Linked DNA regions of Mus musculus. Each later gene encodes a partner of the first gene's protein in a complex. Links are inferred from orthologs where the notes say so. Each region holds a gene or a part of one and is shown in the gene's direction. Other genes may lie near its edges.

Region 1 (7,701 bases):
GTGCAGGGCATGCTGGGAGTGCTGCTTGAGGGTTAGGGTTCTACTTTCCTGTGTGCAGACTGAGTCAAATAGCTGGGGGTTGGAGGGTAGAGAGGGTGGGGGAGGGATTGGCCTTTGCTGAGCTACAGTCAAAGGTGAGAGAGGAAGTTGTGCTCATTTGGACAAAACCATCATTTCCTTAAAGTCCAGGCTCTAAGCTTTTAAGTAGGTCACTGAAGAAAACAAAACAAAACAAAACAAAAAAACCCAGTAAGTTCTCCATTTGTGAGGTGGCCTGTGGGTGGCTCTCTGGAGGCCAGGTATTGGGAGTTGTTGTTCCTCAATGGCCTGCAGTGAATTAGGCTCCTAGTTCACTAGAGATCAGGTTTCCAGAAGGAAAATGAATGCCAAGGAGAATCCCCCTTCCTGAAGTTTGCAGTCAGGATATGTCTGGTACCCTGGCGTTTGAAGTAGTTTTGAAGTAGTTTTGCAGAGGGCCATGTAAAATGTTTAAATGATGTTTGCAATATTGTTTTATGATAGCTAAGTTAGAAGTGAATACTTTCCGGTCAGGCTTTCATTACTTCAAACGGTTATAAAGTACAATCATGGGCTGGTGAGATGGCTCAGTGGGTAAGAGCACCCGACTGCTCTTTCGAAGGTCCAGAGTTCAAATCCCAGCAACCACATGGTGGCTCACAACCATCCCTAACGAGATCTGACTCCCTCTTCTGGAGTGTCTGAAGACAGCTACAGTGTACTTACATATAATAAATAAATAAAAAAAAAAAGTAAAAAAAAAAAAATAAAGTACAATCATATAATTACATAATGTGAAAGTATATAATAGAAAATATAATAAAAATTATATAATAACGACCCTATTGAAAGAAAATATGACATTGGAACTATCCCCCCCCCCCCAAGACAGGGTTTCTATGTATAGCCCTAGCTGTCCTGGAACTCAGTGTAGACCAGGCTGGCCTTAATCCCAAGTTCTGGCATTAAAGGCATGTGCCACCACTGCCTGGCTAAACATACCAGAATTTTTAACAAAGAAAAGAAAACACAGAGACATGCCCACAAAAAGCAAAACCTACAAAAACACAGAAATCAGAAACCATAATATACAAGCAAAAGATCAGTAAGGTTTAAAAAAAAAAAAAAAACAAAGCAAAACAGACAAACAACAACCTGAGACAAAAGGTCGACAGAAATACTACTGAGATCATTCGTGTTGGCTAATACTGCTGGGCACGGGGCCTGTGCGTCAGTGTGGTTTGTATATCTAGGGAGACTCCCTTGGAGAAACTAATGTTTCCTTTGCAAGCTGTTGTCAGTTGGAGATAGCTTTTGGGTTAGGGTGGGGGCTTGTGTGCACTTCCCCTCTCAGCACTGGGACCACCTGACTTGAACCTGTGGTGCCCTGTGCATGCTGCCATAGTTGGCATCAGGACCTCTAAAACCTGTGACATCACATAGGCAGGACCTACAGACCTGTTGCCAAGACAACGACCACCATATTCCCAGAATCCACTTGGCTCACTTCCCACCTTTACCTGTGTTGTGTCATTATCCATACATTCAGGGGAATGGCCCTCCCCAACCCTTCCCCCCTTTTCTTTCTGCCACCACCCTCCTTGCCTCTCTCTCTTTCTTTCTCCCAATAAACCTCTTACACATGGAACTGTTTTGGCCTGGGGTGCTGTGTTCAGACGAGAGCAGCTATTCTAACATACCAGCCTCCATCTCTGTGGGACCATATGTGTGTCCAGCCTGTTATCTCGAAGGCCTTCTTAATATTCTCCATTCCCTCTGGCTTTCATAACAGAGTTCCTGAGCCAAGGGGAGAGGTTTGATGGAGACCTCCCACTTAGGACTAGTGGTCCAAGATCTCTCGCTGTCTGTATGTTGTCCGGTTGTGGGTCTCTGTTAATTCTTGTCTTTGGGGGTTTGTTTGTTTGTTGAGGTAGGGTCTCATTATGTAGCCCTAGCTGGCCCAGAACTAGATAAACAAACCAGGCTAGCCTCAGACTCACAGAGACATGCCTTTCTCTGCCTCACAGGTGCTTGGATTAAAGGCATGTGCCACCACACCTGAGGTAGAGTCTTGTATTTTCTAGGCTGACCTCAAGCTCCTACCTTGCCCACCAACTATCCCAATAGCTGGGACTCCAGGCCTGCATCACTGTGCCAAGCTCTTGATTTTTAGAACTAACTCATTATTGGGTTATTATTCTAGCTAATTATAAGGGTTGAGGGTGGAACTCAATGGTACAGTACTTGTATAGTGTGCTCAAGGCCCCAGGTCTAACCCCTAGTAAGATGAATGTGCTAAGTACACCAGACTACGTATAGTCTAGCGTATGGGCAGAACGACTTCTTAGAGATAAGCGTTCAGGGCCAGGGCCAAGTGTTCTGTAGCCTGTTCTGCATGCCGGCTTCATTCGTTCGATCCCTTGGTCTACAAAAATGAACCGATAAGTAAAAGCGAAGTTCTCTACTCTCCCCTCCATTGAGACAGAGTAGAAGTGCTTTGTGGGGCTGGAGAGATGGCTCAGTGGTTAAGAGCATGGATTGCTCTTCCAGAGGTCCTGAGTTCAATTCCCAGCAACCACATGGTGGCTCACAACCATCAGTCATGGGATCTGATGCCCTCTTCTGGCGTGTCTGAAGACAGCTACAGTGTACTTGTCTAAGTAATACTAAATAAATAATATTTTAGAAGCGCATTTGTGTAAGAGGTTAGAGTGTAAGAGGTGAGAGCAACAGAGAGGAGAGGCTGCTGAGGGGATCAGGAGCCCTGCTAGAACTGCTTCCATCCAGAGCTAACCTCTTCCTCTCCTCCTTTAGATGGTACACCCTGAAGTCCAAACCCGGGAAGAAGGACAAAGAGCGCGGGGAAATCGAGGTCGACATCCAGTTTATGAGGAATAACATGACGGCCAGCATGTTTGACCTCTCCATGAAAGACAAGTCCCGGAATCCATTTGGAAAACTGAAGGACAAGATCAAAGGGAAGAATAAGGACAGCGCCTCGGATACCGCCTCGGCCATCGTCCCCAGCGTGACACCCTCAGTCGACAGTGACGATGAGTCCTTCTCGAAAGACAAGAAAAAGAAGTCAAAGATCAAGACTTTGTTTTCCAAGTCGAGTCTGCAGAAGACGCCCCTCTCCCAGTCCATGTCTGTCCTGCCCACTTCCAAGTCAGACAAAGTTCTGTTGCGGGCCGGAGACTTCCAGTCCCAGTGGGACGATGACGCCCATGAGGATGAGTCCTCCTCCGCCTCGGATGGTGAGTTCCCGTCTTTGCTCACTCACCCTCCTCCCCAGTTTACCTGACTGTGCTCTGAGAAGGGAGAGGGAGGCCTTGAGGTTTTAGTTAACTACAGTGATGATGGTGAGTGTTCTTCACAAAGGCTTTGTTTCTTACGAATCTCCAAGGGCTTGGCTCGCAGAATCAGCGCGTTTGAGGGTTTCTGCTGTTGCTGTTTTCCTCCCAGTCCTGGGGATCCGGCCCAGGGCCTTGAGTGTTCTCAGTAAGGGCTCTAACACGGCTCCTACTGTATATGAAAGAAGACTATAGGCCCTCGTGTGCGTCATGTCTCATTACTTTATCAGATAACTGCTGAGCTTTTATCGTGTGCTTGCCTCCTATGTGGTTCGTCCCTGATGGAAGCTCAGAAGTCCAGCCTCCTTAACTCTGAACTGTGTAATCTGAGCTTCAGCTACAATTACTGAAGCCCTTTTGGAGGTTCTGTTGCTCTTATCAAGAACGTGGCCTTTTCCACTGGTTTAACACTGGATTTCTTAAATTCTTCACCGCTGATTGTTCGGGCTGTTGTGTGTTACAGAGTGCTTAGGGTCCTCCTGTCAGGTACCATGATTGGTAATGTGTCCAGATGTTGAATAGATTGACAGATGCCCCTGCCGATCGCAACTGCTCATTCCCACCCCCCACCCCAACCCCACCCCCATCCCATCTCCTCCTGTCTTTGCAAGGCTGAGGTTCAAAATGACATCATCGTGCATGCTAATCAAGAACACCACCACTGACCTTTGCCCCAAATCCCTCTCATTTAATTTTTTTTTATTATTATTACTAGAGATTGAACCCCAGAGCCTTATGCATGACAGACAAATGCTTTAACTCTGAACTATATCCTCAGCCTCAATTTTGATTTATGTGTGTGTGTATGGAGTGTATGTGTGTGTATCAGTGTGTATGTGTGTGTGTCTGTGTGTGTGTGTGTGTGTATGGGTGTGTGTATGAGTGTGTGTGTGTGTGTGTGTGTGTATAAGTGTGTATGTATATGAGTGTGTATGAGTGTGTATGGATGTGTGTATGAGTGTGTATGGATGTGTGTATATGTGTGTGTGTGTGTATGGGTGTGTATGGGTGTGTGTGTGTGAGTGAGTGCACGCATGCCTGTAGGTCAGAGGGATAGCTTGTGGGGCATCGGTCCTCTTTTGAGCATGCAGGTCCTGGGAACTTAACTGAGGTCACTAGGCTTCGCGGTACATTCCTTTTCTCACTGAACTGTCTCTTCAGCACTCACCCCTTTTGCTGTTTCCTTTCTTCCCAGTCATGTCTCACAAGCGAACATCCAGTACAGACCAACAACCGAACCAGTCCAACTTCAGCCTTCCCAAGAAAGAGGGGCTTTCCTTCCTTGGGGGCCTCCGGTCCAAGAATGACTCTCTTTCCCGCTCTACCGTCTGTATCAACGGGAACCACGTTTACATGGAGCAGCCGGAGGCCAGGAGTGAGATCAGAGAGAGCAGCCCTTCTAATTCCCCATCCCCGCAGGGCTTCAGGAGGAAGCATTTGTTCTCGTCCACTGAAAACCTGGCTGCCCGCTCTCCCAAGGAACCAGGGGAAGGAGGCGGCACATCTTCTGACAGGCGACTGTCCGACTCTTCCACCAAGGATTCCATGAAGTCCATGTCTTTGCCATCCTACCGGCCTCTGACCAGTGGGGACAATAGAGAGAGCATGTCTCCAGCAAACGTGGAGGCTGCCAGAGAGACAAAAGACAGCAAGAAACAGGAGAGCAAGAAGTCCTCTTTGCTTTCTCTGGTGACGGGAAAGAGGGATGCGGCGGCTAAAGGCAGTGAAAGCGAACCTCTTCCCACTGTCTCAGAGAAAGAGAAGGAGAGGAAAGGCGCGCTCGTGGAAGCCCAGCTGCGGGAGGAAGACCTCATGAGAAGGCCTGAGAAAGATGCTCTACCTGTTGCCTCCCAGTGGGGCAGCTCCTTGAACCCCTTTGAGGACGTGCAGATCTCAGACCCGGGAGCCACCACGGAGTCCAGGTCGGAACCGAAACCACCAGTTCCTGCGGCCAGGGTTCCCCAGACCAAGGCTGTGAAGCCGAGGTGAGTCTTCGTCTTTACATATGGGGCCTTTCTCCACCACTGCCTGGTATTCAGCAAAGCCCCCGCTAGGACAAACCCGGCCGGTCTCAGGATGTGCGTGCAAAGGTTTGCTAGCCTCACGTCATTTGAACCAGGCCCCTCTGCTGGCCTGGCCTGCTCAGCACAAAGGGCAGGGCTTTTCCCAGCCTAAAGCTACAGCATGCCTGAGTGAAGGTTGTCCTCAGGGAGCTAGGCAGACTCCGGTGAGAGGAGACCACCGTCTGTGGCCGCTTCCGAGCGTGTGAGCGGAGCGTGCGTGCTTGTGGTGGGTACAGGCAGGGCCTGTGTTTTAAAGGTTTTCAGTGCTGTCCTGTGGAGATGGCTGCCTTTCCTCCTGGTGCTTGGGGTCAGTTTGCTGGTGTGAGAGACCTGGGTCGGCTCTTTAGACCGTTCTCTGTCTCCTCTGTGCCTGATCGTTAGAGCCTGCCTAAGCCGGAAGGAGCGTCTGCTTTTCTGAGTGACTCTCACCTTGACCTTGACCTTGCTCTGGAATGGGGGTGGCGAGACAAGCTTTTTGGGGATTCTGCAATGGATGCACTTTCTCTCCAGAATCCATACTTGTTGCCTTCCATTATTTCGATGCTTTTCGTTCTGTCATAGTCAACTCTTGGGACTGAGTGTATCTCAGAAAGAAACTGTAGGCTGTCGGCTGCTCTAGCTGAATCTTTCCATTTCTGTTAGAACAGACCCGTGTGTGACGGCTGTGCTTGGCGCTAAACAGTGTCTCTTTCTGTGGGGAGACTACGCCTCAGTCGTGGAGGATTCACATAGCAGGCACGGGGCCCTGGCTTCGACTCCCCAGCACGAATGATCAATTTGTATGTCAAGAAGTGCTGTTTCCTTCACCTTGATCATTAAAAACCTGTCCCTCCCTAATGACTACTTTAATATGTGTCTTGAAATGCATCTGCCACTGACCTGCAGATTTTATTTTGTCCTTTTTGCAGACTGGAAGTTTCTCCAGAGGCTCAGCCCAAAGCCAGGCTTCCCTCCCCCGACTCTGCTCTCTTTGCCCCCTTTCCCTCTGACTCTATTCAGCCTCCTGTCCTTTCCGACTTGAGATGTGACTCAGAGACACAGTTCTCTGAAAGTCCTTCTGCCTCCTCTTTCTTGTCCCCCTTAGCAGCTCCTATCTCCACATCCACTCCAGTCGAGCCCTGGCCCACAGGCCAGGGTGAGGCCGATGCTGAAAAACCTTCCTTGCTCCTCAGAGCAGTCCCTAGTTTAACACCGGCTGCAAACACTGGTTCTTCTGCCTCGGGATCACCTTGTGAACAACTTCCTACACCTGTGCGGAAGGGGACGGAAGAGGCGTCAGGGGACACAAGGAAGGAAGCTGGCAGTGATGAATCGGGAAAGACCCTCATGACAGAGTGTGTGTCTTCTGTGGATAATGTTCACGATGGCGGAATGACTACAGCAGGGGAAGAAGCAGCGCCCCCTCTTCTAGAGGACGAGGCCTCCTCGTTTCACCGCATCGCACAGAAACACGAGGGGATGCATCAGAATGCCAGCGGAGGGCAGAAGAAGGGCAAGAAGCGCGTGTCTTTTTCTGAACAGCTTTTTGTGGAAGAAGAAACAGAAGGACCCACTAGGCTTGAGGAGGAGGACAGAGGTCATGCCCAGCAGCTGACACAGGAAGGGCCTGTTGCTGGAAGCGTGCTCCGTGCAGGGTCTCCAGAGTCTCCCCACACAGAAGGCACAGGACAGGAACCTGTGACCGCAGAAGCTCAGCCTAACATTTCTTCTGAAGGCAAGTGTTTCCCGGAAGGCCCCACAAGTGAAGCCAGCCCAGCAAGAGGTACCCAGCCTTTGATGGATGAGAAGGATGACCTCATGGCTCCCTGTCAGAGCAAAGCCAGCGATCATGAAGGCCTGCTCTCTAACCCCCTGAGTGACCTTCCGTCCGCCTCGGATGTGAAATCTCCCATCATAGCTGATCTGAGCTTGTCTCTCCCGTCCATTCCTGAAGTGGCATCGGATGATGAAAGAGTCGATGAGGTTGGAGATGGAGGAAAGGCAGAGAAGTTGGTTGATCTAGAAGCAGGAGTTTCACCCTGGAACGTGTCACATTCCATCCTGGAGACGTCAGGAAGGTCTAGTGGCAGGGCAGGTGAATCAGTGCCCACAGAGAATCAGTGTGACTTCAGGCCCCAGGTTCGCTCAAGTGAGAATGAAGAGCTACCAGGCCCTGGCACTGTCGAGGAAGAGAAGCTGATAGGAGGTGAGAAGCCAGCTTCACCTCTGTGCGTATCCCAGGACTCTTCTGTGCCCAGCCCCTCAGTCGCTGAGACCTTTCCCGCCGC
Region 2 (6,409 bases), on another chromosome or scaffold:
CAACAGTTTGGTTGCAATTCCCACTTCAGTGACCTGGTATTCAGCCACACTGAAGAAGCAATTAGGGTAACAGCATCAGCTGATAAATCTGAAGAGAATTTTGCTGAGTTTAAAAAATCTAAAAGGCTTACATATTCTATGATTCTATTGACATATTTCAAAATGACAGTATTGTAGATAGATAAAGAACAAACTAGTGATGGCCAAGGGTTGGTTAGTGACAGGTTAGGTAGTTGATAGAACTGGGAAAAAACAGCCAGAGCAGTTTCTTGGTGATGATGTTGATAATTCTGTGCCCAGATTGAGGTGACAGCCAGAGTCTATTCTAACACTGCACAGAGCCACATGTGGGTACAGCCACATACACTTTTGAAAAACAAACAAACAAAAAACACTGGTATCTTAGGGCAGTAATTGTACCAGTGTTAGTTTCTCGTTTTGACAGTATAATGTAGCCCTGTGAGTTACTAAAAAATTTTGAAAATGTTTTTTGAAGCACACTTTATTTATATTACTATGTTTCCTATGAAATTGCCTTTTGTTTTTATGGGGAAAGTATGTATTCTTCATTTTTGTTAATGTTTTGTGCCACTTTGTTACAAGACTACCTCTTGAGGGAGGGAGGTGGGCAATGAAGATTGGAGATTGATATGTAGTTGGGAAAGAGAAAATACTTCTTTTTGAAGAGAGTTGTGGTAGAGTGGAGTGTTGGAGATTAAAACCATAGCTGAGTGCCTGCTAGGCAAATGCTTGCCCATACTGAAGATAGTATTTCTTGATTTGAATGGGTTTGATCTTTTTGTTAAGTGCCATTATTTTATTGTTCAAATGACTATGAACATTATTTTCCCTTGTCAGTAGTCACTTGCACTTTGAAGAATGATTTTATTATTGCTGCTGTTGTTGTTATTGTTGTTGTTATTATACCCATGTAACTTACTTGGAAATAATTGATTAGTTCACTGGACCCAAATATTTGAAAGTGGAAGAGACAAGTACAAGTACTAATTTTATATGGAAAAAAAAAGTTGGGAAGCACTTTTTTGTTGAAATCATTGATTCCTAACCTCTGTATCTGGTTAAAGGGGGCAGGAAGTAGAAGAGGGGCTGATATCTTCCCCCTTTGTGCTTTAAATAACAAACAAAACCCCTTTGTTTTCTACGGCTACCTTTAGTCTTTTAACAATTTTACTCGAGTAGGTAACTCCAAAGTAGATGACAGAGTGTGGTATTTGTTCCAGGATTTGAACCTATTGCGTATTTATCCCATCCTCAGCTTCTTTCACAGACACACGCATTGCTGATAAGTTGATAGAAATTTACACCTCTCCTGGGATAGTTTGTCTTTAGGTCACAGTTTGCATTCTCTAAGGTTCTAATGCCCTCTTTGCTAACTCTGTCTTGAATTTAAGGGGAAGGTAATTACTGTTACCCTGAATGAATTAAACTAGTGGTTTTCAAGTTTCCTCAAGGTCCCAGAATCTTTTGAGAACTGAAAGCTATAAGCCTTCTCCAGGGAGTGTTCATGGTAACAGCACTTTGCACTTAATTTTAGGGCCTTCTTATTAATTTTGCTTATTTTTTTTTGGCCTAGACCAGATATGAACAAATTGGCTTGTGAGCCATATTCACCTAATGAATGACTTTTCTATTTTTAAGAGATTTGTGACAACAATAAAAATAATATTCAGCAAGACTTGTGTGGGGCCCACAAATCTGAAATATGCCTTCTCTTCCTTACAGTCATTTTTCAGAACCTGAGCCAGCTTGTTGTGAAAGTTCTGCTCAGTGTTCTTGCCTTATGCTGTGTAGTCCAGGGCTCATCTTTTTTTCTGTCAAGGCTTTTGTATTTGAGAATTTTCATAGGTATTTTTGTTCTAAGATATCTTTTCTTTTGTTCACGAATTAGGTAATAATTCTCATAGGAAATAAAGCAGACTTGGAAGCACAGAGAGATGTTACCTATGAAGAAGCCAAACAGTTTGCTGAGGAAAACGGTGGGTTTGAGACTTAACACTCTCCTATGGGATTTTTTAAAAGAAAGGAGAATTAGATCATGCCGGCTATTCGAATTTTGTTTTTTTAACTTGTTCTATTCAGAAATCTCAATAAGGAAATAAAGTGTTTGTTTCTATGATACCTGTTAGTAGTAGTGCAGCTACTGAGTGACAAGTACTGATCTGCCCCTGCACCTCAGACACGTGCTCCTTCATGAGGGCTGGAGTAGGAGTACTGACAGCTGTGGGGCCTACTCACATGTGACTGGAGCACTCCTGACTCTGCAATGTCCTAATTTTAGTCTGAATTTTATTTTTAGGCTTATTGTTCCTTGAAGCAAGCGCAAAAACGTAAGTATGGCTAAAATGTAGATCATGTTTCAGTTCCATGCAGAGTAGAATCATGTGCTGTGTAAGTGAGTGATGCTGTAGACAGGCGTGGGAACTGTGCTGTGTAGTGAGGCCGTGGACAGCAGGAAGAGCAGTGAGCAGAAGAAGCTCCTGTTTCACTTTACAAGAGAATGGGACCCTTTTACTTAAAGGGTTGTACCTCATTGTGTCCACTGGTAACCCAGCTTAATAAATGAAACTGTGCTGACATCTCACAAGTGTTTGACTCTCACAGCTGAGGTTGAGTTTGGTATCTTGAACATGCACTGGGCCAGCATGTTCACACAGCACCTTAATGATTCAAGGACTCCATACTTAGTGACTAATGAGACACAGCGAACATTTCCTGATTGCCTTGGAGTTTAGCATTGATCCCAGCACTCCCAGTCATAGTTCTGTATCACACCAGGCAAGGACAGGCCAACCTGTTCATGTTATTTATCTCTGCTGTTGGTCCCAAGAGAACTGAGCTGTGAACATGGTTAAACATGACTATGTCACCATTGCATGATAAAGATAGCATAGTTTTATACATGGCTGTTCATAAAATAATGGAAAGCCTGGAATCCTGTCGGTACATTTGGAGAAGTTTTATTTGGAGCACCTGCTCATTTCAGAGTGGCCGTCTCAGTTTTCATGCAGTATATTAACAGAGCCCTGCAGTGAGTAGACGATGTAAATATGCAAACTGAGCTTTAGAAACAGCTTGGTACTGGGTTGTTTACTCACCACCAAAAACATTTCCTATGTTCTCTTAGCTCAGTCTTCTGGTAATCTCTTATTAGATGACAGTGGCTAAGTGGAAGACATCATGGCAGTTGACTAAAGGTTTAGCAGGTCAGTGTAAATGCCTTACATTTTCTAGAAAGCTGTGCTTTGTAAATAAAGTTGTTGATTGTCTCTTAGGGGAGAGAATGTAGAAGATGCTTTTCTTGAGGCTGCCAAGAAAATCTATCAGAACATTCAGGATGGAAGCCTGGATCTGAATGCTGCCGAGTCTGGTGTACAACACAAACCCTCAGCCCCGCAGGGAGGACGGCTAACCAGTGAACCCCAACCCCAGAGAGAAGGCTGTGGCTGCTAGTGACCTCTTTGCTCTGGCCCCTCATTTGACCTTTCACCTCTGTCTGTTGGAAGCAGTACTTTTTACTGCCTCCTTGTCTTCTGTACATCTTACTGGGTTTAATTAAAAAAAGAAAAAAGAAAAAACAACTCTTGTAAAAACAGTTTAACAATACTAAACTGCTAAACATCTAGATGTAATCAGGTTATCAAAGGCAAGTAGAGTAATAAATCTCTCCTGCATGGTAAATCTAGACTTTCCCCCTTTGATTGTCCTTGTGATAGGTTTGTCACCAATATATGATTTAAACTGAGCACTGCTGCTGGACCTGATTTTTACCTTCCCTTTTGGCAAGGCTTTGTCTCGCTGTACGGTTTAAATTTGATCTTTTCAGCCTTCCTCCCATCTTTAAACTGTTGAGTATGTCTGTTGTAGCCAGTAAGTTCATTGCTGTGAAATGACTTTGGATGGTAGAGAAAAGGGGTCTGCAACTGCTTTTGTTTTTGTTGGATAAATTCCCTGTTGTAGGGGTGGCATTTTTCTTGATGAGGTTTGCTTCTGTCTTAGCCTTGCACAGGGAAAAATACCCATTTATCTTTTCTTGTGCTTAATTAATAGCTTTATCTTTTTTTTTTAATTTTTACACTATTTTATCCTTTTCTCTTTAACAGAAAGTAAATATGTATAAAATTTGAAGGAACCTAACTAACAATACCTTCTGTGTATATTATTTTAATGAAGAAAATAAATTGATTACTGGCATTGGAACAGTATAAAATACCAGTTTGTACAGTGTGACCTATATGTGACCATGTTACTCTTCCATTTCACACACGGAAATAAGACACAACAGCAGCTCACAAGTAATACTGGCTCCACTCCTTGGTGCTGGCAGTGTTTGGGGACAGACATAATGCTGGAAAGAGCTCCTGGCATCAGCGGAAACACTAGCGGATTCTACTCCATCTTTGCACTGTGGCATACCTGCTGATTTTCTTAACTGTTCTTGTGTAATCAACGCGCTCACCTGCTTTTCTTTTTGTAAACATTTTGTGTTATAGGCTGCATTCTTGCCTTACTGTATAGGAAAAGGAAGAAGGCTGGGTTTAATATTGCACATTTTAAGCTTTTATACCTTTATCTTGGAATGGTCAACTTCTGGACCAGATAGCCAGAACCACAGGTCTGCTGTTAAGGGATTTTAAATTGTGCGTTTTTAACACTACAGTGAGATAATTTAGTATTATCCTTTGTGTTCATAGTATGAGGGGCTATCTTATGTCATGTTGGCATAAATTATTTTGTAAAAGGGAAGGTGTTTCTAAATGTGTATGCTGACATCATGTAAGTTGCTACTTTGCACTGGGTGGTCTGGCCACGGAAAGAACGCCTTGCAAGAGAAACAGATCTCTAGGCAGCATCTGCTTCACTCAGTTCTTCCCTTCTCTTGGTTGGTTTCTAGCTGAGTTTAAAGTGGCTGGGAATTGAGAGGTCATTGGAAGTGCACGTAGGTAAGCCCCAGCACATTATATAAAATGCTCTCTGCTCATTGCTGTGTTAAAATACACATTTTAAATCCCTCTTTACCAGACACTAATGTAAAAGTACATCTTCTGGATTATAAACATGTGGTAGTTCCAGAGTTTTGTATAGTCAATGTTAAATAAAAGCCAAAACTGGAATGTGCAGAAAATAGGATTCGGTTTTCTTGTGGATTCACCTTTTTGTCCTTGTTTAACTTAAAGGAATCTTGGAGTAGACTGATCTATTCTGTTAAAGATGTAGAGTGATCCATTTGCTTACACTGTTGCATCACAGGGGATTCGCCCAGGGACCATGACCTGCTGGTGTGTGTATATATTTACAAAACAAAACAAATCACCCATCGGGACATAAGGTAGCAATCACAGAGTGAAGACCTTCGGCTTGTTTAGGTGCAATACCCCATTTCCCAAAGTGACAGTGGGTCCTAATTGTTTTTGTGACAGAAGGATTTATTCAGACTGCTGTACTCTTCATTTGATGTAACAAAATGCTATTATCTAAATATTTGTAAATAAAGTACCTGTATCTAGATTAAATTGAACATAGTTGCATTATTTTTGATCTGTAAGACTTTTCAGATGAATATTTGAACTATCAGTTTTTACTACAGCATTGCACTTAGTGTATGGTGAGGTCTGAGTAGCAGTAAAGCTACCAATTGAGCTGGAGTTTCATCCATGTATGTTGCATCTTTGAGGCCAGCACATTGCTAGCTAATAGTGTTCTCCCTTTTCTGTATATGGGGCCAAATTCTATTTGTTTGTGTAACCAGCGTGTAATAAATTTGGGAGCTTAAAGATAAGCAGATTGTCATAGTGCAGCATCTGTGAGCCAGTGGATCTGGGCAGAGTGGATTTCTGTTCATTTTTAACCCACAAAAGCTTGTCATTGTGCAGATGCCTCCTCTGGCTTTCTCACTCTGCTTTTGCTGTGGAGGAACCCCTCTGGTGGTAACTAGTACTCCAACACAATGTGGAGTTGATTTTTGGTGTTTTGTTTTGTTTTTGAAGTAATAACGTGTTCAATGAAATGATGGCTGGAAGGAGTTGGGTGGTGGTGGTCACATGGTACTAGTAAGGCTATACAAGGTTTTTTTAAGATGTCCTCTGGTTGTGTTGGTGTGTGTGGTTGGTCAGACCCAGGATTCTGCACAAACTAAGCAAGCAGCCCCCGGCTGTAGGTTTTGAAATCAGGTGTTTTGAAAGCTCAGTTTTGAGAACTGCTTTAAATGTGGCCTTAAATAGATGGTGTAGTTCCCTCATCATAAACAGAAAAAAAGACCAGGCAATTTCTATTACTATTTATGTGGTAGTAGAGATGAAGATTTATGTGGGAATAAGACTACTTCACCTTCATTAGGTCCTATTCCTGTACTGTGTCAATAGTTGGGATTAGTCCATACCTTTAAGCATTT

Evidence for each region.
Region 2: the proteins of Rab11fip1 (region 1) and Rab14 are in contact, whole or in part, in a crystal structure (PDB 4D0G), measured with the Homo sapiens proteins. The link is inferred for Mus musculus from reciprocal best matches to the Homo sapiens genes RAB11FIP1 and RAB14. Residues at the interface, in NP_001002814.2 of Homo sapiens: Glu1252, Ile1255, Asp1256, Asn1257, Leu1259, Val1260, Met1263, Pro1267, Asn1268, Leu1270, Arg1271, Ile1272; in NP_057406.2 of Homo sapiens: Leu28, His29, Ile44, Gly45, Val46, Glu47, Phe48, Gly49, Trp65, Arg72, Arg74, Ala75, Val76, Ser79, Tyr80.

Annotation. Positions count from the first base shown.
Region 1 is NC_000074.6:27,151,801-27,159,501, reverse strand, and holds part of Rab11fip1 (rab11 family-interacting protein 1), read left to right. Parts: intron 1-2,832; coding exon 2,833-3,275; intron 3,276-4,566; coding exon 4,567-5,356; intron 5,357-6,342; coding exon 6,343-7,701. UniProt on the Homo sapiens protein: A Rab11 effector protein involved in the endosomal recycling process. Also involved in controlling membrane trafficking along the phagocytic pathway and in phagocytosis. Interaction with RAB14 may function in the process of neurite formation.
Region 2 is NC_000068.7:35,179,332-35,185,740, reverse strand, and holds the end of Rab14 (ras-related protein Rab-14), read left to right. Parts: intron 1-1,909; coding exon 1,910-1,997; intron 1,998-2,317; coding exon 2,318-2,348; intron 2,349-3,293; coding exon 3,294-3,471; 3' UTR 3,472-5,536; downstream 5,537-6,409.